3 linked regions of the Arabidopsis thaliana genome follow. The protein of the gene in region 1 interacts with the protein of each later gene in a biochemical or structural test. Each region holds a gene or a part of one and is shown in the gene's direction. Other genes may lie near its edges. The genes, in order: MYB77, UVR8 and ARF1.

What was found.
Region 2: the proteins of MYB77 (region 1) and UVR8 form a complex in vitro, tested with the Arabidopsis thaliana proteins (one study listed by BioGRID).
Region 3: the proteins of MYB77 (region 1) and ARF1 form a complex in vitro, tested with the Arabidopsis thaliana proteins (one study listed by BioGRID).

What each region holds. Positions count from the first base shown.
Region 1 is NC_003074.8:18,555,415-18,563,943, reverse strand, and holds MYB77 (myb domain protein 77), read left to right. Parts: upstream 1-4,617; 5' UTR 4,618-4,892; coding exon 4,893-5,798; 3' UTR 5,799-6,337; downstream 6,338-8,529. Other genes in the region: AT3G50050 (Eukaryotic aspartyl protease family protein), read left to right, coding at 6,829-7,100, 7,179-7,299, 7,386-7,813, 7,926-8,082, 8,177-8,259, 8,348-8,447. UniProt on the Arabidopsis thaliana protein: Transcription factor involved in auxin response. Functions in auxin signal transduction and modulates lateral root growth. Interacts with ARF response factors to promote auxin-responsive gene expression.
Region 2 is NC_003076.8:25,550,499-25,562,266, reverse strand, and holds UVR8 (Regulator of chromosome condensation (RCC1) family protein), read left to right. Parts: upstream 1-2,767; 5' UTR 2,768-2,851; intron 2,852-3,282; 5' UTR 3,283-3,679; coding exon 3,680-3,773; intron 3,774-3,960; coding exon 3,961-4,147; intron 4,148-4,338; coding exon 4,339-4,485; intron 4,486-4,697; coding exon 4,698-4,779; intron 4,780-5,170; coding exon 5,171-5,326; intron 5,327-5,733; coding exon 5,734-5,907; intron 5,908-6,112; coding exon 6,113-6,184; intron 6,185-6,424; coding exon 6,425-6,496; intron 6,497-6,629; coding exon 6,630-6,748; intron 6,749-6,931; coding exon 6,932-7,017; intron 7,018-7,108; coding exon 7,109-7,161; intron 7,162-7,365; coding exon 7,366-7,446; 3' UTR 7,447-7,851; downstream 7,852-11,768. Other genes in the region: PP7 (serine/threonine phosphatase 7), read left to right, coding at 1-327, 416-562, 638-745, 836-931; AAP4 (amino acid permease 4), read right to left, coding at 8,893-9,549, 9,645-9,784, 9,863-10,077, 10,173-10,266, 10,391-10,624, 10,713-10,773. UniProt on the Arabidopsis thaliana protein: UV-B specific signaling component that acts as a UV-B photoreceptor and plays a key role in establishing UV-protective responses in plants.
Region 3 is NC_003070.9:21,973,402-21,984,933, forward strand, and holds ARF1 (auxin response factor 1), read left to right. Parts: upstream 1-5,937; 5' UTR 5,938-6,022; exon of another isoform or gene 6,023-6,218; intron 6,219-6,982; 5' UTR 6,983-7,012; coding exon 7,013-7,049; intron 7,050-7,254; coding exon 7,255-7,370; intron 7,371-7,625; coding exon 7,626-7,721; intron 7,722-7,827; coding exon 7,828-7,884; intron 7,885-7,982; coding exon 7,983-8,135; intron 8,136-8,220; coding exon 8,221-8,305; intron 8,306-8,458; coding exon 8,459-8,549; intron 8,550-8,627; coding exon 8,628-8,792; intron 8,793-9,017; coding exon 9,018-9,137; intron 9,138-9,227; coding exon 9,228-9,303; intron 9,304-9,422; coding exon 9,423-9,594; intron 9,595-9,670; coding exon 9,671-10,140; intron 10,141-10,286; coding exon 10,287-10,477; intron 10,478-10,623; coding exon 10,624-10,792; 3' UTR 10,793-11,032; downstream 11,033-11,532. Other genes in the region: MTR4 (RNA helicase, ATP-dependent, SK12/DOB1 protein), read right to left, coding at 11,170-11,448. UniProt on the Arabidopsis thaliana protein: Auxin response factors (ARFs) are transcriptional factors that bind specifically to the DNA sequence 5'-TGTCTC-3' found in the auxin-responsive promoter elements (AuxREs). Seems to act as transcriptional repressor.

The sequences.
Region 1 (8,529 bases):
AGTTTTCATCATCATTTCTGATTGTGATGAGTCCATTGAAAATCCAACATTTGATATTTTCCAATATTCATTACTAGACACATATGAGACGACTAAACAAACAGAGTCTTACAGTAGAAAATCTCAAAGTCTCAAAATTTTTGAAAAGTCAAATCATCGTTGACGTATTAGATCCTAAATCTTCAATCAAGCATGTAAACATTAACTAAGTATCATATGAAGTTCCATAATGTTTGAAATAAAATAGCACTCAGAATCTCAAAATGATGATAAGCTTAAGTTGGATCAACTTAAACTGACCCCAAAAAAACAACAATTCGCTATTCGCAGTTTTGTAGCTAGAATTTCTGAAAACATACATCACCATAATGCATAAGAAACAACAATGAAAATAAGTAACTATAAGCGTTGGTTTCTTGAGAATTGAAGATGGCATCACTAGATGATGACGTATTTACTATTTGTTGAGCCGTTTTGGGCCAAAGTTAACAAATGAAGATTGATACGGCCCATTTAGTATAAATTTTTACTGATGTCTGACGGGTTTAGAAGCACACGTGCATGCAAGTAGTATACACGTGGGTGTTTCACATGAAAGATCCTACTTCCTACATGTGTTGTTGACAGTACGGACAAGTCTTTTAGTTGGCGAATAAGCGGCTAAAAATTTTCAAAGTGAAGCCGTTTAATGCAGGTCGTCGGTCAAAAGTGAAAGGATGATGGATACTTTTGTCATTTCATGTATCTTCTATGTATTTGCCTTTCAATCTACTGAACTTTGTCAAAAGAATTTTGTGGTTTTTTATTTGCTACGTAAAGTTTAGATATTAACAAAAGAATCAACAAACTATGAAAAATAACAAAAAGATGAGACATTTAGTCATGTATAACTCTTTTTTTTTTTTCATATTTAACTTGCACATTATTATGATGTATGATGTCATAACAAAACAAAATTTGTACTTTAGTAACCACAAATAAATATATGTATTATGTTAAAAATCATTGTAAAATAAGAAATACATTCATACAACCATAAGTTTTTTTTTTAAGATCATAGTTCTTTAAGAGATTTTAAAAAGAAGAAATCACATTTTTAACCTTCAAAGTGTCATTGGTACACCTCGAATTTCTTTTACTAACATTTATAAACCATCAAAGTAATTTTACTAATTCTTTAAACCTCCAAACTAGTTTTTTTGTTTGCACCACTATAAAAAATGACGAAGTAATTAATTTTGTTGAATATAAATTCATATGATATAATTTATTTATATATATTTTTGTTGATTTTTGTTTTTTCAATCAATCTCGCAATTGATTTTTTGGATATGTTTTGTTTTCATAGTCGAACGATGAATAAACGAAGAAGACAAAGTTTTTTTGTTTCTTAGATTTTCATTAATTATAATAAACAATAATATTAATTTAAATGAAATTAAAAAGATCATATTAAACAAACATAAATTACAATAATATCAAGATGATCAGACTCAATGGTTTGGTTGGTGGCTCTTCCTCCTCAACCAAATGAATATTAAAATGCTAAAATTTGAATATTCCAATTTGGCTTTCTAAATTTTTAGTTTGTCTACGGTGAGTTATGAATAACAATTCTATATCTATTTTCTAAATAGAAGTAACAAAAATGAATTAACTTTATACAATTACACATTTAACCACATTGGAAGAGAATGGTATCGAACCCTTGCTACCAAGAGAGCTCGGCTAAATGGAACAACTAACACTCAATATGACTAACGGCAACAACATGAATATCTTAATAAATACGAATACAGTTTATCCTAAATGTTACTTATTATTTGTATATGTGTAGAGAACATATTCATACGAATATTTTTGGGACAAGATAACAATTTTCATTCCTGTAAATAAAATTCCACTAAATGGTAAATAACTCGAAAGTCTCGAATGATACAATGAACTCAGTCAACATATATTTGTTTTTCCGCCTCTTACACCGACTAATCTACCACCGTGTGTTAGTATTATGATCTTTATGTTATTTAAAGCTTATCGTTGTTTAGATATATCGAACGAGTTTTTCTGTTAGGCAAACCTTACAAAAATGAATTTAAAAATTAGGAGAACAAACCCGACAATCGAAGCATGGACCCTAATTAACAACAAACAGCAAATGATATACTTTGATTTATATATTCACACATCGTGCACCGTCTTGTTCCTTTTGACAACAACCTATTACCAATATTTTAATTACAATGTTTCTAAGACACACATTGTTGGAATTATATTCTACATCGTGCACCGTCTCTCAGGTATATGTGTTCACCAAATGTTCACGTGCATCTTTCAAAATCTAGCTAAGTGTACAGCAAAAGTACGTGTCAATTATACATTGACCCAAAATAAAATGTTGGATCCGAAATGAAATAGATCTAAACAATGTTTAAGTAACACGAAACAATTTACGACAAAAAAAAAAAGTAACACGAAACAATTTACAAATCCTCAATTTAGTTTACAAACCAATAAAACTTAACATGGTATATATTATAGTCTAATTCAACCCATATAATATAACCTAAATAGGATAAGTTTTCGATTAGAAATACACCAAGAAAACCATCATTTAAATATGACATGTTAGAATGTGGAACACATAATAAAAGTAAACATATTGTTAACTTTTATAACCAAGACTAAGTGTATTATTATTATTATTTTTTTTTATTTTTTTAAAATATTAGGAGGTTTTGGGCCGAAACCCGTAATCTCTACAGACCCAAAATTACAGCATATAATATTAGTTTCGTCACTAGAATGTATTATTAGTATGAAAGAAATAACAATTAAGGGAAAGTTTGGTCAGTAAACTGAAAACCAACAACATCAAAACTGAAATAGTTTCGGTAATCCGTTTATAATTTGACTAATTAGTATGTAACTAATTCGACATAAAATACGGAAAAAGATAAATTAAAAAATAAGTTGTGAAACCGTTCGATGAAGGTTGGGAAGAAGGTGCAAATGACGTTTAGTGCGTTACTAACGTAAGAGACAGTTACACACAATTTCAAAAACAGTTCCAAAAATTTGACACGTGGCAGTTTGCTTAATGGACGACAGTTAGTTGTTTGTTGAGGATTACAGCCTGGATTTTCGTCAATCAAAAACTATATATTATAAATAAATATGATTTCATTCACATTCCAATTGGCCTAACACTCTTTTGTCGTGTTGTCCATGTCAGCAAATTTTATTTTTATTTTTCCGACCACTTACTTTTATCTTGTGTGGCCGTTTCTTTGTAACAAGTTTATGAAACAGAATATTAATCGTATCTAATCATATAAATGTAGTTTCCCGTATTGTGTAAATACTATATGACTTTGATTTGGGGCATTCAAAAACGTACCATTAACAAATAGTCACAGACAAAAAAACCATACAAAACTGAACCACATTTCTATAAACGATACAAATATTTTTATCCCAAATTTGTAGCACTAGGCAGTTTGAACCTTTTTCAGTTAGAAAGATAAACCAAAAGGAAGTAAAAAATATTAATTTCATCGCTCAAAACTGTTACAATTACTGTTTAACCAGTCATAAATTAGTTAATGTTTTTTTTTAAAAATGTGTAATCAAAATTTTACTTTCAAGAGTGCCAGCTCTATACTTGCAATTACTTTAAAATTTAAAAATATACAAATTTTAAATTATGTGTATTGTATTCTCGAGAAAAAAAAAAAAAGAAATCTATGAATAATTAAAACGTAGCATAACCGTTACAAGTATAGTTTCAAATTCAACGAATCAAAATACTTTTTTAAAAGTAGCTAATACTTTTCTCGTTTCAAATTAAATGTCGTTTTGCATATTAATTTTTGTGTCATATTAAACGTCGTTTTATATTCTATGCAGATTTTATGTATAAACTTTATTGGTCAAAAGCGTTACGAATATCGTTTCAAGTTCAACGAATCAAAACATATTTTATAAAAACATCTAATACGTTTTCCGTTTCAAATTAGATGTCGTTTTGCATTTTAATTTTTGTGTCAGTCTAATGTCGTTTTATATTTTCTACACATTTATATTTTCAAAAATTTCAGTTTTATTTTTATTGTTTAAATATATCATCCAATTTGAAAATAATACAATACAATAACAAAAATAACATTTAAATTAAACAAAAATATTTTTAGAACACTGTGATCAAATTTTATCCTCCAATATTTCCCGACCCATAAACTTTAAACCTTATGTAACTTCAAAAAAAAATTCAAATTAGTCGTTTTGTATTCTACAAAATAAAATAAAAGGAAAAAAGTTTCAGAGAAAAGGGTAAATTTGCATAACAAGGAATACAGGCTGGCGTGTCCAGTCAAAAAAGTCAGAAATCTGCATAAAAAACTGTCTTTACCCAAACTGCCAAACCTAACCGTTATCGTCTCAGATATTATTATTATTTTTCAAATAAACATTCAAAACAGCTTTCTAATTTTTCACCTCAGATTGTGCGAATAATATCAGAGCTCTTTCCTTGTAGGTTTCCGTGATTTTGTCGCTTTAACTTCCCTTCTTTTCCCACTCTCTTCTCACGCGCGCGTGCTTCCCCTTTCTCTCTTTCGACTGTATCACACGCTCCATAAACTAATAAACAGACGCACCGAGATCACGACACGTGTACACCTACAGCTGTATCCCAAAACTTTCAAAACCGCTTGCGTGGAAGAAGCGGTGCATGACTTTCTCCACCGTCTCTACCGGTTACCGGTTATTATCCATCCTCCTCTCTATCTCTCTCTCTGTTATAAATACCTTTTTTCTCCTCTCTTCAGTTTCCTCCACCTTCTTCTTCTTCTTCTTCTTCTCTACAACAAACAAACAAAAGATCTGTTTCAATGGCGGATCGTGTTAAAGGTCCATGGAGTCAAGAAGAAGATGAGCAGCTACGAAGGATGGTTGAGAAATACGGACCGAGGAATTGGTCTGCGATTAGCAAATCGATTCCAGGTCGATCTGGTAAATCGTGTAGATTACGTTGGTGTAATCAGTTATCTCCGGAGGTTGAGCATCGTCCTTTCTCGCCGGAGGAAGATGAGACTATTGTAACCGCCCGTGCTCAGTTTGGTAACAAGTGGGCGACGATTGCTCGTCTTCTTAACGGTCGTACGGATAACGCCGTTAAAAATCACTGGAACTCTACGCTTAAGAGGAAATGCAGCGGAGGTGTGGCGGTTACGACGGTGACGGAGACGGAGGAAGATCAGGATCGGCCGAAGAAGAGGAGATCTGTTAGCTTTGATTCTGCTTTTGCTCCGGTGGATACTGGATTGTACATGAGTCCTGAGAGTCCTAACGGAATCGATGTTAGTGATTCTAGCACGATTCCGTCACCGTCGTCTCCTGTTGCTCAGCTGTTTAAACCAATGCCGATTTCCGGCGGTTTTACGGTGGTTCCGCAGCCGTTACCGGTTGAAATGTCTTCGTCTTCGGAGGATCCACCTACTTCGTTGAGTTTGTCACTACCTGGAGCTGAGAACACGAGTTCGAGCCATAACAATAACAACAACGCGTTGATGTTTCCGAGATTTGAGAGTCAGATGAAGATTAATGTAGAGGAGAGAGGAGAAGGACGTAGAGGTGAGTTTATGACGGTGGTGCAGGAGATGATAAAAGCTGAAGTGAGGAGTTACATGGCGGAAATGCAGAAAACAAGTGGTGGATTCGTCGTCGGAGGTTTATACGAATCCGGCGGCAATGGTGGTTTTAGGGATTGTGGAGTAATAACACCTAAGGTTGAGTAGTTTTGGTTTAGGGTTAAAACTTGAATCGATTGGGGATTTTCAAGAGCATTCATTTTTGGGGTTTATGGTAAAATTAAAAACAAAAACAAAATGTACAGAGGAATTAAAATTTCTATGGAATAATCTTAAATCTCAAATATTTGTTACTTGTTTTGGTGATTCATAACCAAAATCTATAACAAGTCTAAATCTAAAAATTGAACCTTGATTAGTGAGACATTATCATACAAAGAGACATACTGAGTTAGTCAACAAAATGTAGGATAACTACATTCTTACATATTGTATAGATGAATTTCATGTTAATCCTTTCATAGAGCTATACAGTAACCATGATTAGTGAGACCTTGTAACATGTAGTATCAAAATCAACAAAGGTATAGATTTAACATCTATTTGAAAACATTCGAACCTTTTATTTGAAAATCTTTTGCTTGTTGTAAGAGATTTACTCTATAGTCTATAGATAGTAATTAAACCTTTTCTATAGGTTTGGTAGATTACTTCACTTTTATATAAAATTAATTACTGTCAAATCGGATTTTTGTTAACATAATTATTTTTCGACAATTTAGAAATTATCGTAAAAATTAGATCAATCTTTCTACATTCTTACAAAAAATAAATACATTGTCTAGAAAATCAGTTTTTTTTTTTCGTTTTAAATCTATAAAAAAACTGACAACAACAAAACAATACATACTTTTTAATTACTATAGAGTAAAATCTCTTACAACATGCCAAAGATTTCAAATAAATTGTAGGAAGATTTTTATGTTATTTAACCATTCTACAGTATAAATAAACACTGGTACAGCGATGTTAAAAAGTAGAGGTTAAAAAAATGCGTTAAAAACACAAAAGCTACGTCGTTTCAATAACTGGGTTTTGTCTCAAAGAAAGCTGCTTTTGGTTCCCGTAGATCTAAAGTTACGTTCGAGTCTCCCCTCTTCTCTCCACTCACTCAGCTCTTTTGATTCCCCTCCAATTTTCTCCGACGGTACGGTCGAAAAATCCAACCGGAGATCAAATGGCACTGCCGTCGATCTCATCAATCGGCGCGACGTTCTCACTCCTAATCTATTTATCTCTTCCTTATTCAATCACAGCTGGTGAAAACAACCTCCTCCACCAATCTCCAACCGCTAGATCACGACGTCCCATGGTGTTCCCATTGTTCCTCTCTCAACCAAATTCTTCTTCGAGATCCATATCAATCCCACATCGAAAACTCCACAAATCCGACTCAAAATCACTTCCTCACTCTCGCATGAGACTCTACGACGATCTTCTTATTAATGGGTAATCTCCTTTTCCATATTTCCCGATCTGGGTCATGTAAAGATGTCTCTTTTATATACTATTATATCGTATTTGTAGGTATTACACTACGAGGCTTTGGATTGGTACACCACCACAAATGTTTGCTCTTATAGTTGATTCTGGTAGTACTGTTACTTATGTTCCTTGTTCTGATTGTGAACAATGTGGCAAACACCAGGTAATGATGGCTCTAGATATCCAAATCTTGTGTCTTGTCTCGTGTAAAGTTGCAAATTTTGAAACTTTCTTATGGTTATTGATCAGGACCCAAAATTTCAGCCAGAAATGTCTAGCACTTATCAACCTGTTAAGTGTAACATGGATTGTAATTGTGATGATGATAGAGAACAATGTGTTTACGAGAGAGAGTATGCTGAACATAGTAGTAGTAAAGGTGTTCTTGGAGAAGATCTTATTTCATTTGGCAATGAAAGCCAGCTAACACCTCAACGAGCTGTTTTCGGTTGTGAAACTGTTGAAACCGGTGATCTTTATAGTCAACGTGCTGATGGGATTATTGGATTAGGTCAAGGAGATCTTAGTCTTGTTGATCAATTGGTGGATAAAGGTTTGATAAGCAACTCTTTTGGTTTGTGTTATGGAGGGATGGATGTTGGTGGTGGTTCGATGATTCTTGGCGGTTTTGATTATCCATCTGATATGGTGTTTACGGACTCGGACCCTGATCGTAGGTATGTTTCCAAGGGAATGGCTTTTTCTGATTGGTGAATGGGATCTTGTATAATCCTAACAAATACGTTTAATACCTTTCACACATTTACTCTAGTTTCGGGATGGCGACAGTCCATATTACAATATAGATTTGACGGGGATACGTGTTGCTGGGAAGCAGTTGTCTCTTCATTCGAGAGTCTTTGACGGGGAACATGGCGCCGTACTAGACAGTGGTACAACATATGCTTATCTTCCAGACGCAGCATTTGCGGCATTTGAGGAAGCTGTAAGAACTGTTCTGAGAATTGTTAATGTTTAGTTAAGTTCCCTGTTTCTCTGTTGCTTATCTTACATGAGGCTCTTATCTTGTTGTATTGAAGGTAATGAGAGAAGTTTCCACATTGAAGCAGATTGATGGTCCTGATCCAAATTTTAAAGATACTTGCTTCCAAGTCGCTGCAAGGTATTTATTATCTCTTGCAAACTTGTGGTGTATATCATAACTTATAATCAAGGCAAGTAACTGACTCTTATAATTGTTTATGCTGAAGTAATTATGTCTCGGAACTTTCAAAGATATTCCCATCGGTCGAGATGGTATTTAAGAGTGGACAGTCATGGCTGTTGTCCCCTGAAAATTACATGTTTCGAGTAAGTAATGTAGCCCTTAACCTATTATGAAGTTCCATGTTCTCTCTATAGCTAGCACTCTATGCAGTATTTATAAGTCTCT
Region 2 (11,768 bases), on another chromosome or scaffold:
ATTTCTGGACGTGTTTATACAGCACATGGAGGGCTTTTCCGCAGCCCAGTCTTGCCTAAGCGAACAACAAGGGGGAAAAAGAACCGTCGGGTAGTTCTTCTGGAACCTGAGCCGAGCTCAATGAAACTCGGTACCTTAGATGAGTTGATGCAAGCTCGAAGATCAGTTCTTGATCCTCCTTGGGAAGGTTCAAACTTGATACCAGGAGACGTTTTATGGTCTGATCCTTCAATGACTCCGGGCCTTTCACCAAATGAACAGAGAGGCATTGGTCTTCTTTGGGGTCCCGATTGTACAGAGGATTTTTTGAAGAAATATGAACTGAAGGTGACACCAAAGTAGATATTGATGCTTGTTTGCTTCCCAAATACTGATATGGATGATTGGATCAAATGTTTTACACTTATTGGTGCAGTTGATCATCAGATCACATGAAGGTCCAGATGCTAGAGAGAAGAGAACTGGTCTTGGTGGAATGGACAATGGATATACAATAGACCACAATGTCGAATCCGGAAAGCTTATCACTATTTTCAGTGCACCTGACTATCCGCAATTCCAAGTATGTATTTTTACGCCTTTGGTATTTGCATTTTCTAAAGATATGCGTTAACAATCATTTTTGTGTGTGGTGTAGGCAACAGAAGAGAGGTACAAAAACAAAGGAGCATATATTATTTTGCAGGCGCCTGATTTCTCGGATCCTCAATTTCATAGTTTCGAAGCTGTTAAACCGCGACCAAAGGTAACTAACTTACGATGCTGATAATGAACCAACGAGTTGTTTTACTTCTTTGATACACATACATAGCGACATCGGTTTTTAAATGTGCAGGCGCATCCATATTATGACTTTGAAAATGTCATTGATTCTGATGATGAGATGGATAAGTCAGCAATGGACACCAATAACGAACAACCAAATAGCTGACCGAAGCTGAAAAGGAGTATCTTGAATTGATGTTTTTTACAGTTGTTGTGATTGCTCATTATTTGCAAACATAAAATGGAATCAAATGTAAAGAAAAGAGATGAAGAAAATCATTTGTAGAATTCACATTTAAGTTATGTATGGAAGATGAAGAAATAAGAACCATCTTAAATCTCATGTAGTTCTTAGTTTCTTGGTTCCTACACGTCTTATTTAAACCTAAATCTTGTAAGATTTTGCTCTGTTTTGTCAGGTTAGCCTAAATCTTGAGAGGTCAAACTTGCAGTAACTTTCATTGTATAGAATTGCTTTTAACTGAATGATAAATCGAGTAGTAGATTAGTCCAATGGAAGTTTGTGGATCAAGTTATGTGTCTGTCGGCATTATAGTTTTCCTTTGAAATATTGACACATTACTAGAATCTTATCCAACAAAAAATTGTGTGGTTATGAAAATCCTAAGTAACGAGACAGCTTATTAAATGCCGAATTTGGTAGCAATTTGTTCAGATGAATGTATGTCTTCTTGTAAAAGACAGTATGAAGTGGAGGTTGATGCTAACTATCTTATGGTTCCTTATTGCACTTTGAAGCATTTATTGCAATTGTTTTCGGTTTTTTCTCTTGAGTGGGCTAAACTAATAATGGTCTGTTCTTTCTCTAAAGAGAGAAGAATTCGACAGGAGCGTGAAGCATCTTCATTCGCAAATATAACACATTAAAGCTACCTCTAGCATCATCTGTGTGATTCTCTCCAAGGTCATTCGTTGTCTGTCACGGGGCATCTCAAGTAATAAAGCTTAAAGTTAACTGTCTTTTCAGCCAAATAGTTTCATCATCTAAATATTCACATGATCTTCCATATTTCATCACCGATTATGGTTACAACATTTTTGCAAACCCTAAAATTTGTGTTATCGCCAAACTTGACCCTTATACCGGAACCCATGTGGGTGGGTGTTGATTTTTACTGTTTTGTAATTTGTTCATCGACAATCATTGACATGTACTCACCGCAATGTTTTTTCTTTCCTAGTTTCATGTGCATATATGTCTCTAAACAGTAATTGTTTAGCACTTCATGTCAAGCTTAAATTATTATAGGTGTCTTATCTTGTCTCTCTAGTATTTTCTGTTGAAGTCATGTGCATTAAATTGTATATAGTACTTCCAATGGCTTTCATATAATTTCCATTTTTCCACAAATTGTTCGTAATGATGTTTATTTAACAAGATTATAAAAGATAATGCAACAAATTTGTGTGATGAATGATGAGATGAACCCATTTGAAAGAGGTCGCAACAAATGTCAACATTAGAGACCATCTTGATCTAGAGTTTTGTCTCGTTGACTTTAATGCCAAAATTGGACAATACATATAATGCATGTATCAGGCAATGCAAAAATATCTTCATTCATTTAATTTTCTTACTATAATAGATGTCACAACTTCCCTCACTGACAAGCATATAATGTTGGTTTTATCTCAATGTAAACAACCTTTTAGTTTCACATAAATGTTAGGTCGAGCGAGGTGATATATTCGTTCCAGATCGGATGAAACAAGTAATTCATCGATGTTACCTTTATCCATATGTATATGTAAGATTATGGGTTTTAGGTAATCTAGTAAGTACTACTAAGTAGTATCCGTATGTAATTTTTTATTTATTTTTATCCGTTATGTATAATTTCTTTGGCCGTTTTCGCAAAATCTATATTTGGATGTTTTAGATCGTGAATTGATATATCTTAATTTGAATATTTAGGTATTCATATATTTTGAATCTATAGTTGACCTGTTGACCATGTATTTTGATTTGAATATCTCGCTCGATCGATAGAAGATTTTTTTTTGTTTTTGTTTTGTTGATAGTAGAATCTTCAAGTTGTAATTTAACAAAAAAAAAAAAAATCAAGTTGTAAGTAGACCGTATATCTGTATATTTCCATATGTAGAACCATGCATTTTGAATAATTGAATAAAATAACATGTAGCAAGACGTATCTTCATATGATAATCAGAATCATAATAAAAAGACAAACTGTACACCATATTGTAATCCAGGTTTAATTTGACCTCTTTGAAAAACTAAAATAGCTGAACTGAATATTTATAACTAAAAAGACAAATTGGATATGTCACTTTGGACTATGAAACTCAGAATTTTTTTTGACTAACGTGTATACTTTCACACGTGTGCATGACTAAAAACATATGATTAGGCTCTTACGATCTATGCGCCTTACACCTGTGAATGATGAACACATAAAACACAAGTTACGATCTAGAATGTCATGTGTACTGGCTTAAATCTACTTATGTGAAGAGGTAAATGAAATGGTCAAGAAACAAAAAAAAAAAGAAATGGTGAAATTATGAAAGTATAAAACTTTACCGGTGAGGTCCGTATTTGGATTTATTAAGTGAAGAGGGACCCTTTTGCAATTAAAGCCTGTACGACAAAAAAGAGATTTACTGTACGGTTAAAACAAAAAATAAAAAAACCAGCAAAAGTAAAAAAGTCAAAAAGCAGATATATGACATGTGCAAATCTCCATCGCGCCTTTATTACCATCTACCGCTTTCTCTCTCTGTCTTTCCTTGTTCAACCCTCGAGAGATTACGGATAGTGAAAGAGAAGCTACAAAATTTCCCAATTTATCAAAAAATAGAAATTTCTTACTTTTTTCAAAATTCATTTCTCCCCAAAAAAAATATCTTGTGAAAACTGCAACTGTGATCCATGGCGGAGGATATGGCTGCCGACGAAGTTACGGCTCCTCCTCGTAAGGTTCTTATCATCTCCGCTGGTGCTAGCCACTCCGTCGCTCTTCTCTGTACGTCTCTCTTCTTCTTCGCTGTTTTTTTTCCTTTTCTATTACGGACTCAAATAATCACCGGAATTGTGAAATCCGCTGCTTTAGTAGGCTGTGCTCTTCGCGAATTCTCTTGATCTGGCCTTTAATCGAGTTTCCCTTACTTTCGTCGTCTACTAATGAGTAGTTTTATGTTTTGATTTTGTAGCTGGTGACATTGTTTGTTCTTGGGGTCGAGGAGAGGATGGACAGTTAGGTCATGGCGATGCAGAGGATCGACCTTCTCCGACTCAGCTTAGCGCTTTAGATGGCCACCAAATTGTTTCCGTTACCTGTGGTGCTGATCACACTGTTGCTTATTCACAATCAGGCATGGAAGTCTACAGTTGGGGATGGTTTGTTTCTCATCATTATCTTCTTCTTTGCTGCTGAATCAATTGCTCTTCAGTCTGTTTGATATATTCGGGATGAGATGATGACCACTAGTTCCTCTCTAGATTTTTGTGTAGAAAACAGTAACTAATTATACACTCATTTGCACATATTTTAAGCCTCGTGTTCTCTAACCTTTATGTGTACTTTGCAGGGGTGATTTTGGGAGATTAGGCCATGGTAACTCAAGCGACTTGTTTACTCCGCTACCAATCAAAGCATTGCACGGTATTCGGATCAAGCAGATTGCTTGTGGGGATAGTCATTGTTTGGCTGTCACTATGGAAGGAGAGGTCCAGAGGTATTTTCTCTTTGTTATTGTTCTTCTCCTTATGTGCAATCATTTACAGTTTACATCTCAGCTCAATTAGATGAATTTCATCGGAATTTGATAATGTCGATTGCGTCCTGTGTCATTTCTATATATCTTGGTTATTGTGTACATTGCCTTTTAAACGTTTTGTCTGTCTTGTCTTGTTTTCCAACATATCTCTTTGACTTCTGTTTATACAGTTGGGGCCGCAACCAGAATGGTCAACTTGGTCTGGGGGACACCGAAGATTCTCTAGTGCCTCAGAAGATTCAAGCCTTTGAGGTTTGTATCACTAAATATTCTTCTAACATCTTTTTTCGTTGTAGTTTCCTCAACTTGCCAAATACTATGCTTCAGAATTGGGTCAATGTTGGGTCTATTTCTGCAACTTGATCTTCTTAAACATATGACTGTTACTAGTTAAGGGTCCACATCTGGTGAAGATGTCTTCAGAATCATAATTTAAGTTACATAATTTTAGGAGTGGTAGATACTAAATTGGATGTCTATGTGTTATACTATCTGCAAAACACAGATAGAAGGTAGGATCTTATTGATAATTTATCGGACTAGGTAAACTAGAAGATTAAGTGATTAGAGACCCTGAGTTTATGTTGTTAGTTTCGCTGATCTCCATTGTTACATCAACACTTTAAACTTGTAATGGGTGCAGGGAATACGAATCAAAATGGTTGCTGCTGGTGCAGAACACACTGCTGCAGTTACAGAAGATGGTGACCTCTATGGATGGGGCTGGGGAAGATACGGAAATTTGGGATTAGGTGACCGGACTGACCGCTTAGTTCCTGAAAGAGTTACCTCTACTGGTGTAAGCTAGAAGACTCTTGTTCTATAATTTTTGTTTAAGCACCTGCTACTTGTTTAAACTTGCATTTGAAGTTCAGTATACGTGAAAGAAATCGTGAATAGCTCAATATGCACTGCACTATTCTGGATTAGCTGTCTATATTGATGGAGTCACACGTATATGCAGTCTAATTTCAGTTGGTGGGTGTCAGGGAAGTGACCATAAAACTTTTAGAATGATCAAAGTTTGGTATCCTGAATCTGCACAGTTCATGAAATGAAATTTAGTTCATATAACATTGATATCACGCAACCTCACCTTTTTACCAACTTCTATTTCTGCATTTTAGTCCCTCAATTTTTTCCTTAATTCTCTTTTCATTTCGACTCACTTGACTCTCGTTTTCCTGGTTGTAACTACAATTTTAGGGTGAGAAAATGTCAATGGTTGCTTGTGGATGGCGGCACACAATATCAGTTTCCTACTCTGGAGCATTGTATACTTATGGATGGAGCAAATATGGACAGCTAGGACATGGAGACTTGGAGGATCACCTTATTCCTCACAAACTGGAAGCACTGAGCAACAGTTTTATCTCCCAGGTTTCACTTAGGCCTTATAAATCTGTCTTGAAATACAAATTTGTACATCTGAAATATCCAACATATGGGATAGCAATAATATGTTTTTCGAAAACTTTCTGACAACTATTACCTACTGAAGAAGACTGGCTTCATTGTATGTACTTCTGTTGGTTTTCTTCTTCTGTTCGACATCTTTTGGACTTACTGTTCGTTTCTTTTCCAGATTTCGGGAGGTTGGAGACATACAATGGCATTGACTTCAGATGGAAAACTATATGGATGGGGTTGGAATAAGGTCTAGAATGTCTTGCTTTTTTTTTTTTTTTTTCTGGCCTATATTTCGTAGAAATGTATAGAACACCTATTTTCATCTACACATTCACTGATATTTGCATTTAGTTGCTTTATGCTGTTAAGGAGTGATATGCATTCACTTAGATGTTATTTTAAGAAAACAACAATGCATATATTGGGTAACTTTAGTAACTCATCTTGAATAAAACAAACTTCTAATTGTCTCTCTTTTAGCCTGCAGTTTGGACAAGTAGGAGTCGGCAATAATTTAGATCAGTGTTCTCCTGTGCAAGTGCGATTTCCCGATGATCAGGCATGTTATCCCTAAAAAAGTTTAACGAGAAAGCTCGTCCCAATGTTTTACCGGCTATATAATCATATTAATAAGTTCATGTCTCAATTCGCTGTTTTCTTTTCCAATGCACACATATTGTGGAATTTCACAGAAAGTAGTTCAAGTCTCATGTGGATGGAGACATACCTTGGCTGTCACTGAAAGAAATAACGTGTTTGCTTGGGGTAGAGGTACAAATGGACAGCTCGGCATTGGAGAGTCGGTTGACAGGTAAAAGTGTGATCATCTAATCGCTCATGAATCAATGTTTTCCACTTAACATATCTTGGTGTTACGAACAGAATATGAAAATTGGCCAGTAAGATCGTTGTTTCCACCAAAATCATTGCTTTTCAATCCCACTCACTACCTATCTTGATAATGTGAAATGGATATTTGGTTTGGTGTTTATAGGAACTTTCCCAAGATTATAGAGGCACTCAGCGTCGATGGAGCAAGTGGACAACATATAGAATCTTCTAATATCGATCCATCTTCAGGTATTTAAACAATACCACTAGTTAAAACGATTTCTGTAAACGACTCAACAAGTGATTAAATGATTCAACTTTTGCATTGCTTTGTTACCAGGGAAAAGCTGGGTGTCGCCTGCAGAGAGATATGCAGTTGTTCCTGATGAAACGGTAAGCCTTAATTTTGTTAATTCTACTAAACTTTATATCCAATACGTAAACTACAATGAAAGCAAATGGCACAATTATATCGGCTTAGAACCAGATTTTACTGATTAATCATTGCTGCACAATTATACCTTGCTCTGTCAAGATCGTGGATTGTTTTCAAGGATGAAATCTATGTGTGTGATTTTGAATTTGGTTGTGTGTTAGGGCCTAACGGATGGTTCAAGCAAAGGTAATGGAGGTGATATCAGTGTTCCACAAACTGATGTCAAGCGTGTACGAATTTGAGCCTGAGTCAATTCCGTTTTTTTTTTACTTCCGGTTCTTCCGTTGGATTCGAAGGTTTTTCAGTGATCTCTTTTGGGTTGAGGTTTGTACTAAGAGTACGTCTGTCTAGTTTGGGATTGTACTTTTTGTTGTTGTTGTTAGTTTGTAACTTGTGATGCTTCCCTCCCCCTAGCTCTCTTATTACATGGGCGTTGTAAACTGTGTGTACTACTACTACTAGTCTCTAGGGTATGTACTTTTTTTTTCCTCACCATAATAATACCTTCTGGTTCTATATCTTTCATTTCTTAAAAAGTTTTCTGTTTTTTCCTTCAACCATTATACAACTTATGTTTTAAGAGAATTTTCTTTTTGTCTTATTTTTTTACCGCCTATGTTTGAATTCAAATATGATATGATTGATAGTGACCCGCTGAGTTTTAGAGTATTTGAATTTTGGAAAAAAAAACAATTTTATCAATCAAGATCAAAACTTAAGAAGAACAGTGATCACAGATTAACAAGTTGAACTTCTCCTTTTTTATCAAAGTGTGAAGCGCAGATGAGAACGAGAGTAGTATGGGTATTTTAGTTTACAACTTTTGGGTAGGTTAGCCTTTAGGCCCAACACACAATGCATGTTTCGTATTTCTATATATTCTAGTCTCAATACGAAGAGTCTAGAATACGAAGAATTTCTAATGGACTAAGTGATGGATATGTCAAAAAGAAAAAAAATTGATCCTTCATCATCCGCCAACCTAGTTATGCTGCCTAATATATTTGGCGTTTAGTGAAAATTTTCTATTGGGTAAAACTTATGTGGGTGATTCTCTTTAAAGCAAAACCATCCATATTGCTCTTTTAGTGTTTCTCTTTATGTGTCGGGTTTCTTTCCCTTAAATTATTCCAAATCGATGTCACTTAGATTCGATTCCATGTTATTACCTTTTTCAGTTCCAAGTCGCCATCTTTCAAACTTTCTAATGATTCTTGATGTTTCATCCACGAGTCTTTCATTCCCACCACTTTCTTGCTTTTTTAATTTCGGGTAAATATTACTCCATATATCATTTCGCCAATCTTCTTATATTCACATACACTTATTCATACATTACGATTATCTCATGGCATTACTCCGGCAATGGACTATACCTTATGTTCAAGTTGTTTTTTCTTAAAAAACCTTTTTTCATAAATCTATGTTAATCTATAATTCATTTTCTACATAAATCTATTAGTATGTTTATTGTCTTTAAATCCATATCTGGTTAACAAACTTTCAATAAACACCACATCAATTATAGATTGAGAACACATTATGTATATAAATTACGCAAGATAAAAATTATACGAAACGAAGAACTTTTACATTATTCACATTTCCCCAAATGAAATATATTAAAATTTATATCTTTTGTTTTTTTCTCCACCACCTTCTTCTTCTTCATCATCATCATGGTTTGTTTAGTAAGTAGTCTTGAACGGCTTGTAAACCTTAAGGTCTAGCATTACTCCGGCGATGGAGCCAACTCCGGCGACCAACGTGATCATCAAACAACCACAGCTCAACATCTGCAGACAAACCCACTTCATACTCCATCTCTCAACCTTCCTCTGTCTTATATACATCTCCACCGGAAAGTAAACCGTCAAAGGCCAAAACCCTAACGCACCTAAAATCCCTACGACGTCGTTGAAAAACGGCATAAGCATGGATATCACAGTGGTCAAAACCACAAACCCGCTTCGGTAAACTGCTCTGAAAACGTTGACTTTGTACGGTGACCTAAAACCAGGGATTCGGATTTCGTATTCCTTGGTCACCAAGTCACTGTCGGGAAACCTAGCGGCAGCTTGTTTCTCAATAAAGGCGAAGATGGGCTGAGCAAAGACTTGATAAGCTCCTACAAGGTGGATAACTATGGCAGCGTTAGCCACGTCAAGGAGCCAAAACGGATTGTAGAAACCAAAACCGGTTAAGAGGTTTCCCGGTGCTTTATCTCCGAAGGCGGCATAGCCCATACAACCACATAGCATGTAAAATGTCGTTGTAACAGCGATGCTGATTCTTGTGGCGATCTTCATCGTTTTTGATTCTGCTGGTGGAGATCTTACAGTGTCCTAATGAAAACCCACATGCACCCCAAAAAAAGGTCAGAGATTTTGTAAACTCGTATAGAAAACAGATTCCATATTGGTTAGGTTCTTTATCTTACCTGAATTTCAATAAGAACAACAGAGTATGAATAAGCAAAGGCAATGTCTCCAAGTGCTTGAAAGGTTCTCCATATTTTTTGGGTCTGAGTCACTGCGCCGATGCTAATTCCGGTGAGACTTCCCTTGACAACTCCATTTGCTGAAACACATTAGAGTTAGTTAAACCCTCTGCTTTGTTGATTACTGCGAAGAGTCTTACAAAGTAATTTTCTTTTACCCGCGACTTGAATGATTCCGAGAGCTAAACCGATTGCAGAGTATGTGAAGGACATGATAGCAGCGACAATGGAGAGCCACCAAATCTGGTCAAAATCTTTGATCTGAGAGAGCAAGATCTCGGTCACACCAAACATGATCATGTATGGATTGCTCGACATGTGACACGGGTTTTTCCCTCCGCTCTCGTGGAAACAGTTGGACCTCTTGATCGCCCTGAAACTCGATCCGATACAACCAAATTTTTAAGGCCTTTTATCTCATTATATGGTGTTCCAAAATAAACTAGTTTGTGAGAAAGAAAGACTCACATCATACTTATAGATGCTGCGATTGTGTACCCGACCGTGATACCAAACAGATTCAAATACTGAATCAGCCCACAAATCTTGAACCTAAAGCCACCTGCCAGAAACAGAGCATTTCAGAACACAAAACAGAGTAAAACAGAACAAAACAGAGAGAAACAACCCAAAAACAGAGCAATCAAAGCATATGCGGAGGAAAACAGAGAGACGATAGTTGATACCTAGGATTGATCGGACAGCGTCCATGTAAGTATAGTTTCTCTTCCCAGAGACAGGATCTCCGGTTCTGTAGCAGTCGCTAAGAAGCGTGGAAGAGTAGTAAGTGACAAAAGAGAACAACAACATCACTGTAGGACCTGCGATCCAACCGAGTTGACCTATAGCCCACGCAAGCGATAGAACACCAGATCCAATCACGGCGGTTATGATATGCGCACTCGCGGTCCAAACCGTCCCTGAAACAATCGCAGTTTTTCTCTTTGGATCATTCATTTCAAAGGTGTAAACTGTCAAGTAACCAACAAGGGGATTTAAATTTTTTACCTGAACGTTTAAGCCGGCCATCGTCATCAAAACATTTGAAAGCTGGCCGTGGAACATCCATCTGTTTTTAGTGAGAAACCAAAGTTATGAGGATTCACTAGTTTCAAAAAACGGTTAAAACTAACGGATAATGGCGGTTATAGTTTTCTATAAACCAAACAAAAAAAAAACTTGAAAGAGGGAGAGATCAGTTATAGTACCTTCTCTTATTGAGCTCTAAGAGATTAGACAAAGCTATGCAGAAAATTAAACCCCTCAAAAGAATGCAATGCAGAAAAAAAGAAAGAAATGCAAAAGAGAAATGAGGAGATGGGTGGTGAGAGAGCAGTTGCTGCTGCATTTTGAGTGTTTTGGGTCATCATCTTTTATAAGCCATCAAAAGTGGAAGAATCTTTCTCTAATTTCTTTGATAAATAATTATTATATATATACAGGTCAGATATGTAAAAAGTTCGGCTACATAGGCCATACACATTTATATCATTGTTTAAAAGAATAATGTGGGTAGTAGAGTATCGCCCAAATTTATATATGAGCCGATTTAAAAAAAACAAACACTTTGTAGTATTCTTCTCCCATCTCTCATTCTTTGTGTGTGAGTGATTTTACGTGTACTCTTCTTCTCGAGTGTTTTATTCTTTTAGCATCCATTAATCCCATGGCTCTATAGATCAAACATTACGGTTCTTGATTGACAACCTGAATCAAGATTTCGAATACTTAAGTCCTCTACAAAGTTAATACTTAATAGTGTATAAATGATTTCATTATCCGAATTCGAAGATCCTATATAAACATCCACAGATCTTAAACATCTGTATTTTATGTCTTTCAAATGATTATGGAGTTTAAATAATATGAACTAGCTAGAAACAAATACTGATGTAAACATCAAAAAGCGAATAAATTTGGCTCTTTGTCTAAGCGTTCAATATATAATTTTTGAGAGGTTTTTGCATGGTTTTGTTTTCTCTCTATTCTTTAGTGAAAGATACGTAAAATGAAAGAGAACCAAATTCTTGTTCTACGCCTCCATACCTTTTGGATTCGATCTAA
Region 3 (11,532 bases), on another chromosome or scaffold:
TGATCATCGGAGAAATCAGAGAGTATTAATGATGAAGATTATCGAGAGAATTTCTGAAAACTCAAGGTCATAGAGAAAGAAAAATATTGAACAATTCATCGTTGTGTTACTATTACAAGAACTTTTTTTATGGTTTTTTTTTCTCACATCTAAGCTTGTTTACATGCAAGTGTAAAATTGGAGTATCAACAATTACAAACAGAAGTATTCAAATAATGATAATTAACTCTGATACTAATCAGCTAATGAAACTAATTAGTATGAGACTAACCAGATAAGATAACTCGAATGTTCTTTATCGAAATTTACCGGAATCATTGTCACAGTACACAAACAGGAAACACAACACCAACATTTTCTTTCCCACAAAAGTTATCTATGTAAATTAGAAAAGAGGAACACGATGAAAAGTGATGGATTTGTTATTTCCTCAATGATGTTCTCAATTTGGACACAATCTAATGGTAAGAAACATGTCTGGAACATGTTGGGTGTTAAAGATTGGCTCGTCCTTCCTTTATCCACTAGTATTAATAGTTTCTTTATATTCAACTTTACTTTACTCATTGATGGTTAAAATATTGCATCAATTTGTCCCCCATTTTAATGGCATTATTACATTCTCCCACTTAGCACAGTTACTTCAACTATAGAGTTATTACAAGAAGTGGGTTTCATAATTTGTGATGCTTTTGTATTATTTTCCTGCCGCTCTTGAGTTTCTGAAATGCGATTTTTACTCTTTGTACTATCTCTAGATATATTTACTATTCAAGCGTATTCAATAGTGGATACCTCATCTTTAAATTTTGTCAGTAAAATATAATGACGTTGAATCTTCCTTTTTTTTTTCTTTTTCTTTTTGTTGTTGCTATGAATGTTAATATCATAGATTTTTTTGGCTTTTACAAAGTAAGAACCTCATTAGGAGGATAGCAACGCAGTCAACTGTTTACCACATTTGGAAACAAAGAGAAAGTGTAGTTCACAACCATGTCTCGATCCCAACCGCTACTCTCTTCAACCTCATCAACAAAGATATCCAAAACATTATCACAGCAAGCAGTGCCGTGCCAAGGTCCATTGTGGCTTAAGACAAATTTTTAAAATGTGGCCAAACATATTATATTTTTGAGAGAAATTTTTTTTAATGTAAAAGGATAAGAAAATGTTGCTTGATTTAAAAAATAATAATAATAAATAAACAAGATTTAGTAGTTAGTGAAAATGAAACACAAACAAAATTTTATATAAATGTTAATGATTTGAGTTTTATTTCCAAAAAAAAAACCTAAAACACTATATAAAAATAAATGTTTTACTTAATTTAGGAAAAATGTGGCCTTTTTATTTGTTTAATTTTTGGTGGCCTAAGGCAAATGCCTTATTTTTTGTACATGAGGCACGGCTCTGACAGCAAGACGTAAGCGCAAGCGTTATCGCAACCTTATGCTTCTCAAGTGATCTTGAGCTCACACAATGTGACTTTCAAATCTTTTGTTTTAAGAAAAAATAAAAATAATAATCTTTTATCTTTTTGTTTTAATTGTTTTTTGCCAAGAATTCAAATCCATCGGTGAATCTACTGGAATCCAAGATGATTTACTTTTACTTGATGGATTGTTTTTGGTACTTTCGAATAAAACGTACAACGAAATGCAAGAAGCTATCTTTTAATGATTTCTAATCGACTTGATATAGCCATATATATACACACAAACTGAGGTTCAAAGTCGTTCGTTGAATTTAAATCCGTATATTTCATGTTTTAAACAAAATAAATAAATAAAAATCATCGATGTTAGAAATCAAGACGAGCTACCTTTTTTTATTTTCTTATTACAAGACGAGCTACCTTGTAATATCAGATTGGTGTCGTTTGAAATATATTTTGCAAACTAAAATATATATTAAAAATAAAAATCAAAAACTTTAATATACTTACTCTTGTTGGTTATCCAAGATGAATACGTTATAATTAGGGCTTGCTGTTAATTTAGCAACATGCATGCAATAGTCTATAGATTTTCTATATGGTTTGATTTTACAAAGTAATGATAATGTATTGTATTATGATGCTTTCAATCTATTACTAATATTTTTCTCGTAACTTGCATGCTTTCATAATCCTGTGATCAATTGATGATCATATGATTCCTGATTGTTATGTGTTTACGTCTATTGAGTTAATATTGACTTTAAAAGTAATTTTCCACTATATTTTTTGTGTACTCCTTGGTATACCTTCTCTGTAATTTTAGTCACTTTCAATTTTATAACGAACGTTACTCCAAATCGTAATGTATCTTGCTTTTGAATTTATGAGTGGAAAATATATATGGTAGGCTGTTAAAGAGTTTTTTAATAGGTCTGTATTGGGCCTCAAGATTGGGCTTACTAATGAATGTGTGTATATTGTTTTGGAAAGCTTGAAAATAATGTGAACGATGGCTTGGCAAATATTCATTATTCCAATTAGAGCCCAACGTTATAAAAATAAAAAACCGGACCGGGGCCGAACCAGATTAATGTTTGAACTACAGGGTAACTTCTGTAAAAAAGTACTAAAAACTAGAAATGTTCTCATGTTTCCTTTACTTCATGACTTGTGTTCATGATATCATTACCGCAATAAAAAGTCTATGCCAACTCATTGCCATCTTCTTCTTCTTTTTTTTTACTGATCATTGCTATCTTTTTAAATACAAAGTAACAATGAGTAATTGCAAAATTCATTTTAGGAACGGATTTGTTCACCTCGGAAACAGATCGGTTCACCTTAAAATCGACTTGGTTCAACTCATGAGTCATGATTAGACTTAAGAGCAACACATAACCCTTAAATATGTATCCAATAACGCCTAAAACCGAAGTTCTAATATCTCAATAAAATAATAAAGACCAAAACAGGTTATTTAGTTTCGTCGTACCGTTGAAACTAATTGTAACATTTATGTTTTTTTTCTTTATGTAACTTGTTAGTTTAAAGAAAGTTTTCTATTTTTGAATTAAATTTCAGAACTAAGAAAATTAGGTTTTGGTTGCAAAAAAAGAAATAATCAGAATAAAAAGATTGGTTAGAGACAAAGGAGACATGTCCATGCTTACCGAGAAGAAAACACGTAAAGCTAGTGGTGGTACTGTCAAAGACAAAAAAGCTCAATTATTAAGCATACATTAATTATTACTGATAGCCTGAATCTCTAATTTTGTTACTAGTTAATCAAAAATCATTTTATTAATCCAAGTGGTATGCTTCTTTTGCAGCGCGTGAATCTCAATTGAGTCCCCACCACAGGAGACAAGCAGTGAAGCTGTAAGGAACTCTGGTGGGTTTGCATTATTTTCCATTTAACAACACATGCAATTTTTTTTTAATAATAAATATAAATTTGATAATTGCATTAAGTATCAACAAAGTTAATAGTATTATTGTAGTGTAATTTTTGAGTTGAAATTATTGGTTTTATTTTATAAATATAACTTTTGTCAAAGTTTCAAGTTTTTTTTCAAAGTTAATGAATAACAAATAAAAATCTATTCGTTGAATTTTACTGTCGCCACCACCAGTTTGAGTAGATTCCGCAATTTGAGAGATTACATTAAAAATGATAAAATTAGTTGTGATGTGGTGTTTCACTTCGAGAGAATATGAGTACAATGAGATTATGAGAGATTGATTTTTTTTTTTTTTTCATTTCTCAAACTTTCTCTAATGCATTTTGCTCATATTCGAAGATCGCTTGTGGTGACCTTTGTGTTTTATAACCAAAAAATCGTTGCTAAAATCAATACTAATATCGCATGAAAAAATAAACATTTTACACACAATGTAAGTCATTTTCAACTAGTATAAATATGCATTGTTATTTTAATAAAAGTAGTTTTGTTAATCAGTTATTACGATTTTTATCATGGTACATAAATTTTAAAAAGAATCAATTTGTTAAGAATGGTATACCAACGAATAACAATAATTCAATCATATGTTAGGAATCATTTATATGTTTACCTATATATTATTTTGAAGATTTTCACTCAATGCAAAGATGAACCTCAAAATTACTTTTATCAATGACACATTTTTAAAGAGAAAATATATAAAGATATGAAAGTAGTCACTAGGGACTATGTAATCAATTGTGCTATTTACTGTTTAAACACACTAAAATATATAGTTTTAATGTAATTAAGTAATCCTACAACTTTCATGTGAAAATTCCTAGTCAAATATTTCACGTAGTGAGTTATTTAAAGTAAAACAGAATAATAGGTATGCTTATACGGGTCGAGTTGCTTTATTATGAATATGATTATATGAATCAAAGGATATGAATTTATATTTATCAAGTTACCACGTTACGACCAAATTTGGGTTATGGGTTTCAAATCTTGAACGGTTCATGGTATTCCGCCGCTTTTGTCCTATCAAGTATGGACACATTTTTCAAAAGTACGCTGGTGCCGAAGTAGTTTGTTGTGGCCTTGGTTAACTGTACCATTAATGCGTGTTTATAAACTACATGCTAACTCTAATAACTTCTCATACATTCACATCAAAGGACGATGAGCCTCATATACATACATAGTGATCAGAGCCATCCTCTAAGCAAAAAGACTATCCTTTTTAAAAAAGAGAATCATATTAAGGGCAAAAATTAACTTTCAAAAATAATTGGCCAAGAAGCGATGACTAATGTTTTTGCCAAAAATAAAACAAAATCTCAAATCTCAAAGCCTGTTTCATATCTCTTTTAAGAAGAGAGAAAGAAACTTAGGATTCCAGAACTAAACGTCGAAAGTTCTTAGATATCTTATTTCAAAGGGTTCTCCTCTGTCAGAAATTCTAGAATAACAGATTATTTCATCTTAGGTGGACTGTCATTTCTTCTAACTAGGCTAGTAGCAAATCATTATGCCCAATTTAAAGCTAACTCGCTCTCCATCTCCATTCGATTAGATTAGTAGTTAACTTTAAACCACCAAAAAATTTTATACATTTATTTGTTAGAGAATATTTGGAAGAATTGGGTGGTCTCGCTTTGTGCCGCTTTCTTAGCTCAAGGATTTTTGGATTCTATCTACATGAACTTCGTTATCAATTTTGATGCTTGATATTTTTGCCTAGAGTGTTTCAGTTTTTTTGTTTTTCTTTTCTTTTTCTAGCAGAATTGTCACATGTTATATTCATATTTTGAGTATTTTCTAAGAAACAATTAGGATGCTACATAGACATATTTTTGAAAAGAATTAAGAAAAAGTAATAGGTTTTGGAATTTTGCAAAACAAGCGAGAAGATGCTACACTTGATTGTTTTCAACAAAAATACCCTCAGAAATAATGGATGAGATTCACATGATAGCACTAAATCGCTACAAAATCTCTTCACTAGTGTCTCCTCCATAGTCAAATCCGAGCTCCAGATAAAAACATTACAGATTCATATGACAATATTAATTTTGTCACTCATATGAATTTGGTTAAATATATAATCTAATTTGAAAATACAAAAATCATGATTCATGATGCACCTTTCAATTCACATAATGTTGAAATACAGAAAAAATAATTACTCTCTCATTTCTTTATAATATAAGTTTTAGAAAGAAACCAAAAATTGTCTCATAAAGATAAATGTAGATTTTTTTTTAATTTTATCTCCTATTAACTAGGGTTGAATTAATAAAACAACTAATGAATATTTATTAAACACGAATATATTTGTAGTAGTAAAAAAATTCTTAATATGTATGCAAAGTCTAAAAACATACAAGTTCACTAATCTCTACTAAATTAACAGCTAAACCCAATAAATCCGTTAATTATGGCTAGTTTAGTGAATTTTTCTCAAAGAAAAGCTCTTTTTTCAAAGTTAAGGAGACTAGAGAGCAAGTCATTTGCTTGTGGTTGGAAACAAAAACCCAAAGCGACGACACAATTAAAAAAAAATATAAAGAGGAGAGGAGAAAAAGAGGCAAGCCATAGCCAAAGGGTTCGTGTCGGCTTCAACCAAACACTGACGGTGTGTGTATACACCTTTACATACACACCTTTATCTCTCTCTCTCTCACATCTTTGTTACAAATCAATCTTCTACTGTTTTCTTTTTCCTCTTCTTACATTATTTTTTGACAGCAATTCTTAGTTTCTCTTCTATCCCCTTTCTGGGTTTTGTTTGAACCCTAGCTCGCTTTGGATCCAGTGGTTTTAAGTTAAAGGTTCGATTTTTATTTCTGGGTTTTGCTTGTTTTGCTTGGTTCTGCTTAGTAAATGTTGGAAAAGGAGGAGACTTTAGAGGATCTGTAGTCAGATTTGAGCTGGGTTTGTCGATTTTACTAGGATTTTGATTTTGGGGATAATCTAGATCAGGAATCGTTACTTTGTTTCATATCCAAAATTCAACTCTTTTTCTCGTTCCTGATCTAAAAATCGTTCCTTTTCAAGCTTTCTAAATGAGGTTTCTCTTTGGTGGTTCTGAAATTTTGTCTGTAGCTGTTGTGTTCTTCTCTTAGATTTGATTCTGTATGATAATTTTAGGTTCTGAGTTTGAAGTCTTGTCATTGTAGAGATGGTTTTAGTAACAGTTTTGGTGTTGCTTTGTGTGAAGTTATTAAGGACTAAAATCTGTTCATTTTTGGTATGTTATTGAGCAGGTTCTTGTCTTGCTTTTGCTTTATTTGTTCTTTCTTTTTACCTCTTTGTTTGAGTGATTATTGGATTTTCTCTTCAAATTGGGTAATAAAATTTTGAGAATCTGAGTCTTGTGATGTGCTTTAGACACAATGTAGAACAAAGCAGTTACATAAATGGCCCACATTTTTGTCAGTAAATTTATGAATGGGGTTTTAAATGTTTCTACATAATAACATCTATCAGAGTTTTGTTTGTCTAAATTAGAGGAGGATAGGTCCATCTTCTTCTTTTCTCTTTCAGAATAACATTTCAATCTTATAGTTTTCTCTTCTTTTGTTTTGTTGCCCAGGTAAATTTATCGAAAGTAAGTAGATTCCTAATGGCAGCTTCCAATCATTCATCTGGTAAACCTGGAGGTTCGTGGAATATTTCTTGTTTTTATACCATTCTTTGCTATTTTCTACTGGGAATCCACTTTCTAAGCTTGTTTGGGGATTCTGCATAACTTGAAATGGATGATTAAGAACTGGATAAGGGTTTTAAAGCCTTGGAGATTGCAACCATTGCTTTGTTTTTGAGATATATTGTTGCGTCACATAACCCATATCTGTTTCTTTGTAGGAGTTTTAAGTGATGCTTTATGTAGGGAGCTCTGGCATGCCTGTGCTGGACCTCTTGTAACCCTACCTCGTGAAGGGGAACGAGTTTATTATTTCCCTGAAGGCCACATGGAGCAGGTTGGTTATTGGGTTGAATCATTTAACATTATCATTTGCTAAAGCCGGTTATGTTAATTGGACTGTTATTACTGTGTCAACTGTCGCTTCAAAATACCTTGTTGGTGCTTTCTAGTTTAAAAGTAAAATCACAAAACATGTATTGTTGTATAGAACGGATAAATGCACTACCTGTTTTGATTTCACATGATTATTGTTTCTTTCATCTTATCTGATTATCACATTTATGCATTTAATTGGTCACTTCCTGTGCAGCTCGAGGCATCAATGCACCAAGGTTTGGAGCAACAGATGCCTTCCTTCAACCTCCCATCTAAGATCCTCTGTAAAGTTATCAACATCCAGCGCAGGGTAGGCTAAATTCCATGATATATGATAAAAGTTTCTTACCTTTTCTTCATGAAATGGGTTGGCTAAAGAATATTATACCTTGTTGTGCTTCACTTTGCAAGCTCAGGCAGAGCCCGAGACTGACGAAGTATATGCGCAAATAACCTTATTGCCAGAACTGGATGTAAGTAAATTTTGATGGTTTGGTGTTTCACAAAAAACGGTTCGGTAATTTTTTTTCCTGTACTTGATTTTGGTGAAACTATTGTGTTTGGTTATCAGCAAAGCGAACCCACTAGCCCAGATGCCCCTGTTCAAGAACCTGAAAAGTGCACCGTACATTCATTTTGCAAGACACTAACTGCTTCAGACACAAGCACACATGGTGGCTTCTCGGTGCTACGGAGACATGCAGATGATTGTCTCCCACCCTTGGTCAGACTTGCTTCCGGTGTTCTGGTTGCTTTTTGGAAACATCTCCACTGCTATTTTGTGTAACAGTTTGCTTTCTCTTTTCTAGGATATGTCCCAACAACCACCGTGGCAAGAATTGGTTGCAACTGATTTGCACAATAGTGAATGGCATTTTAGGCACATTTTCCGAGGTTAATACACTTGGTATCTTATTATGAGATGGTCTTTAAACTGTGGTTCCTTTACCCCAATGCTACTGCTACTGGGAACCTTTAAAGCTTTACATAATTTTGCATTAATATTATTGTTTCACGTTTGTTTTAATCATAAGGTTGTGACTACAGGCCAACCAAGGCGTCATTTGCTAACAACTGGATGGAGTGTTTTTGTTAGCTCGAAGAAACTAGTGGCTGGTGATGCTTTCATATTCTTAAGGCAAGCTCCTCATTTCATTCGTCTGGATATTATTTTTGCCACATACGGCTGGACATGTGACATAGTATTATCTTTCAGGGGTGAGAATGAAGAGCTCCGAGTAGGTGTTAGGCGGCACATGAGACAACAGACTAATATCCCGTCATCTGTCATTTCAAGTCATAGCATGCATATTGGGGTCCTTGCAACAGCAGCTCATGCCATTACAACAGGAACAATCTTTTCTGTCTTCTACAAGCCAAGGTCTCATCAAATGGTCCAAAACACATCAGTTGCTGCATCAGACTTTCAGCTCCATTTAGAAACTGAAAATTTTGCTATGTTAGATTTATTTAGCCGGTCTGGGACGGACACACCAGCCATTTTTTAATAAATATGCATCTTATTCCATTGAGTTACTGTTGCCTGCATATGCTTGATGATAATCATTTTGCTGCAAATCCAGGCTGACATATCTTCTATTATCAGGACAAGTAGGTCAGAGTTTATTGTGAGCGTCAATAGGTATCTCGAAGCTAAGACCCAGAAGCTGTCTGTAGGCATGCGTTTCAAGATGAGATTCGAGGGGGAAGAAGCTCCCGAGAAAAGGTATCAAAACTAACTATATTGTTTTCTTTTTGCTGATAAAGCTGAATATAACTTCTAGTCTTTTTTTTTGTGTGCGTTTTAACTATGCAGGTTCAGTGGCACAATAGTTGGTGTTCAGGAAAATAAGTCTTCGGTCTGGCATGATTCTGAATGGAGATCGCTAAAGGTTAGAATATTCTACTGTTATACTTTGCAGTGGAGCAAGTTGTGGATTTGTATTTTCTTAGTTGAATGAATAGAGTGATGCATCTTAATATGCTTATTGGCAATCTGATCATGCTTCAGGTTCAATGGGACGAACCCTCATCTGTATTTCGTCCTGAAAGAGTTTCACCTTGGGAACTTGAGCCCCTAGTTGCAAATAGTACTCCGTCTTCACAACCTCAGCCTCCGCAAAGGAACAAACGACCAAGACCTCCTGGTTTACCTTCACCAGCCACTGGTCCATCTGGTCCTGGTATTCTGTGTTCTTTTCTCTTTGAACTGTTCTTCTTTGTGGCGGCTCTTGCTCTTTTTATTGATGCTCTCTTCAGTTACTCCAGATGGTGTGTGGAAATCCCCGGCAGACACTCCTTCCTCAGTGCCATTATTCTCTCCTCCTGCCAAAGCTGCTACGTTTGGTCATGGTGGGAACAAATCATTTGGAGTATCTATTGGATCAGCCTTTTGGCCCACCAATGCAGATAGTGCAGCTGAATCCTTTGCTTCAGCGTTTAACAATGAATCTACTGAAAAGAAACAAACTAATGGAAATGTCTGTAGGCTTTTTGGGTTTGAGCTAGTTGAAAATGTTAATGTGGATGAATGTTTCTCTGCTGCCTCTGTGTCTGGTGCTGTCGCTGTAGATCAACCTGTCCCATCCAACGAGTTTGACTCTGGCCAGCAATCTGAGCCATTAAACATCAACCAATCTGATATTCCTTCGGGGAGTGGTGACCCTGAGAAATCCTCTTTGAGGTCTCCTCAAGAATCACAAAGTAGACAGATACGTAGCTGCACAAAGGTGTGACTATTAGCCTCTTGTATCGCTCGCTCTTTCTTTGAAGATCAATTTTTTTTGTCACAACTCCAATATTGGTCTTAAATTGGTGGACCGTGTCTGCGGCTTGCTTTTGACTAAAACGCAATGTTTTTGGCAATTTGATTTAGGTGCACATGCAAGGCAGTGCAGTAGGCAGAGCTATTGATTTGACAAGGTCAGAGTGTTATGAAGATCTGTTCAAGAAGCTGGAAGAGATGTTTGATATCAAGGGTGAACTCTTAGAATCTACCAAAAAATGGCAAGTCGTTTACACCGATGATGAAGATGACATGATGATGGTTGGTGATGATCCATGGAAGTAAGTGCATTTGCTGTCTAATACTCTAAATTTTGTTTGGTGTCAACAAATAAAGCAGTGGTTAAAATTGCAAAGCATCATCTGCTGTAATGTGTCCTTTTGCTTTACCGTTGATGATCATTTTGGTCTTCTCTTTTGTGCTGCAGTGAGTTCTGTGGAATGGTGAGGAAGATATTCATCTACACACCTGAGGAAGTGAAGAAACTTTCACCGAAGAACAAACTCGCAGTCAATGCAAGGATGCAGCTCAAAGCTGATGCAGAGGAAAATGGGAATACAGAGGGCAGATCATCATCTATGGCGGGATCAAGATGAGTATATCACTGTGTTATGTTTTAAATGTACTTGCCACGTAGGAAATATGAAAGCAGAAGCAAGAGATCGTTAGACAATATGAAAGTTGAGATGTCTGTGTATAGCAATGAAGTTTTATGTCTTCAAGTCTTATGAATTCACTTAGATGCAATGTGTTTTGAGGAGTTGTGTAGCTTTTGTACGGGAAATATGGAAATTAAGTTTCACGTCTTGTTCTACCTTGAACAATGGTCATGGTCAAAAATAAAATTATGATAAATCTCCTCTTGCTTTATAGTTCTTAGTACACATTATAAGACTTTAAGAATAAATGATGGTACAAACAAAATTCGTTGCTTTTGTTATAATCTTGTTGCCAGGATGAAATAAGCACGACATCACAAGTAGAGAGACGCCGCGAATACAATGTCTCTTTTGATCTTGGAAACAGCTTCTTCTAGTTTAGCTTCAAGCTGTGTTTCTCCTATAGATTTTGCAGCTACTATGAGCTGTTGCAGAACTTCCTCCATTCTCCTTATCGCTCTGATCAAGCTCCCTTCGAAAACACGAGCAATCTCCATGACCTCATAGAATTTGGACCCTTTTGCCCAAGCATACACCGCCTCCATTATATCAGGTCTGAAAGACTGCACAAAACTCTCCACGTCTATTTCGACCTGTCAATGTCATAAAAGACAGAAAGTTATGGACCAAAGCCTCTTCAAATGGTCAAATTCACTTTTAGCTGAGCAGAGAGAATA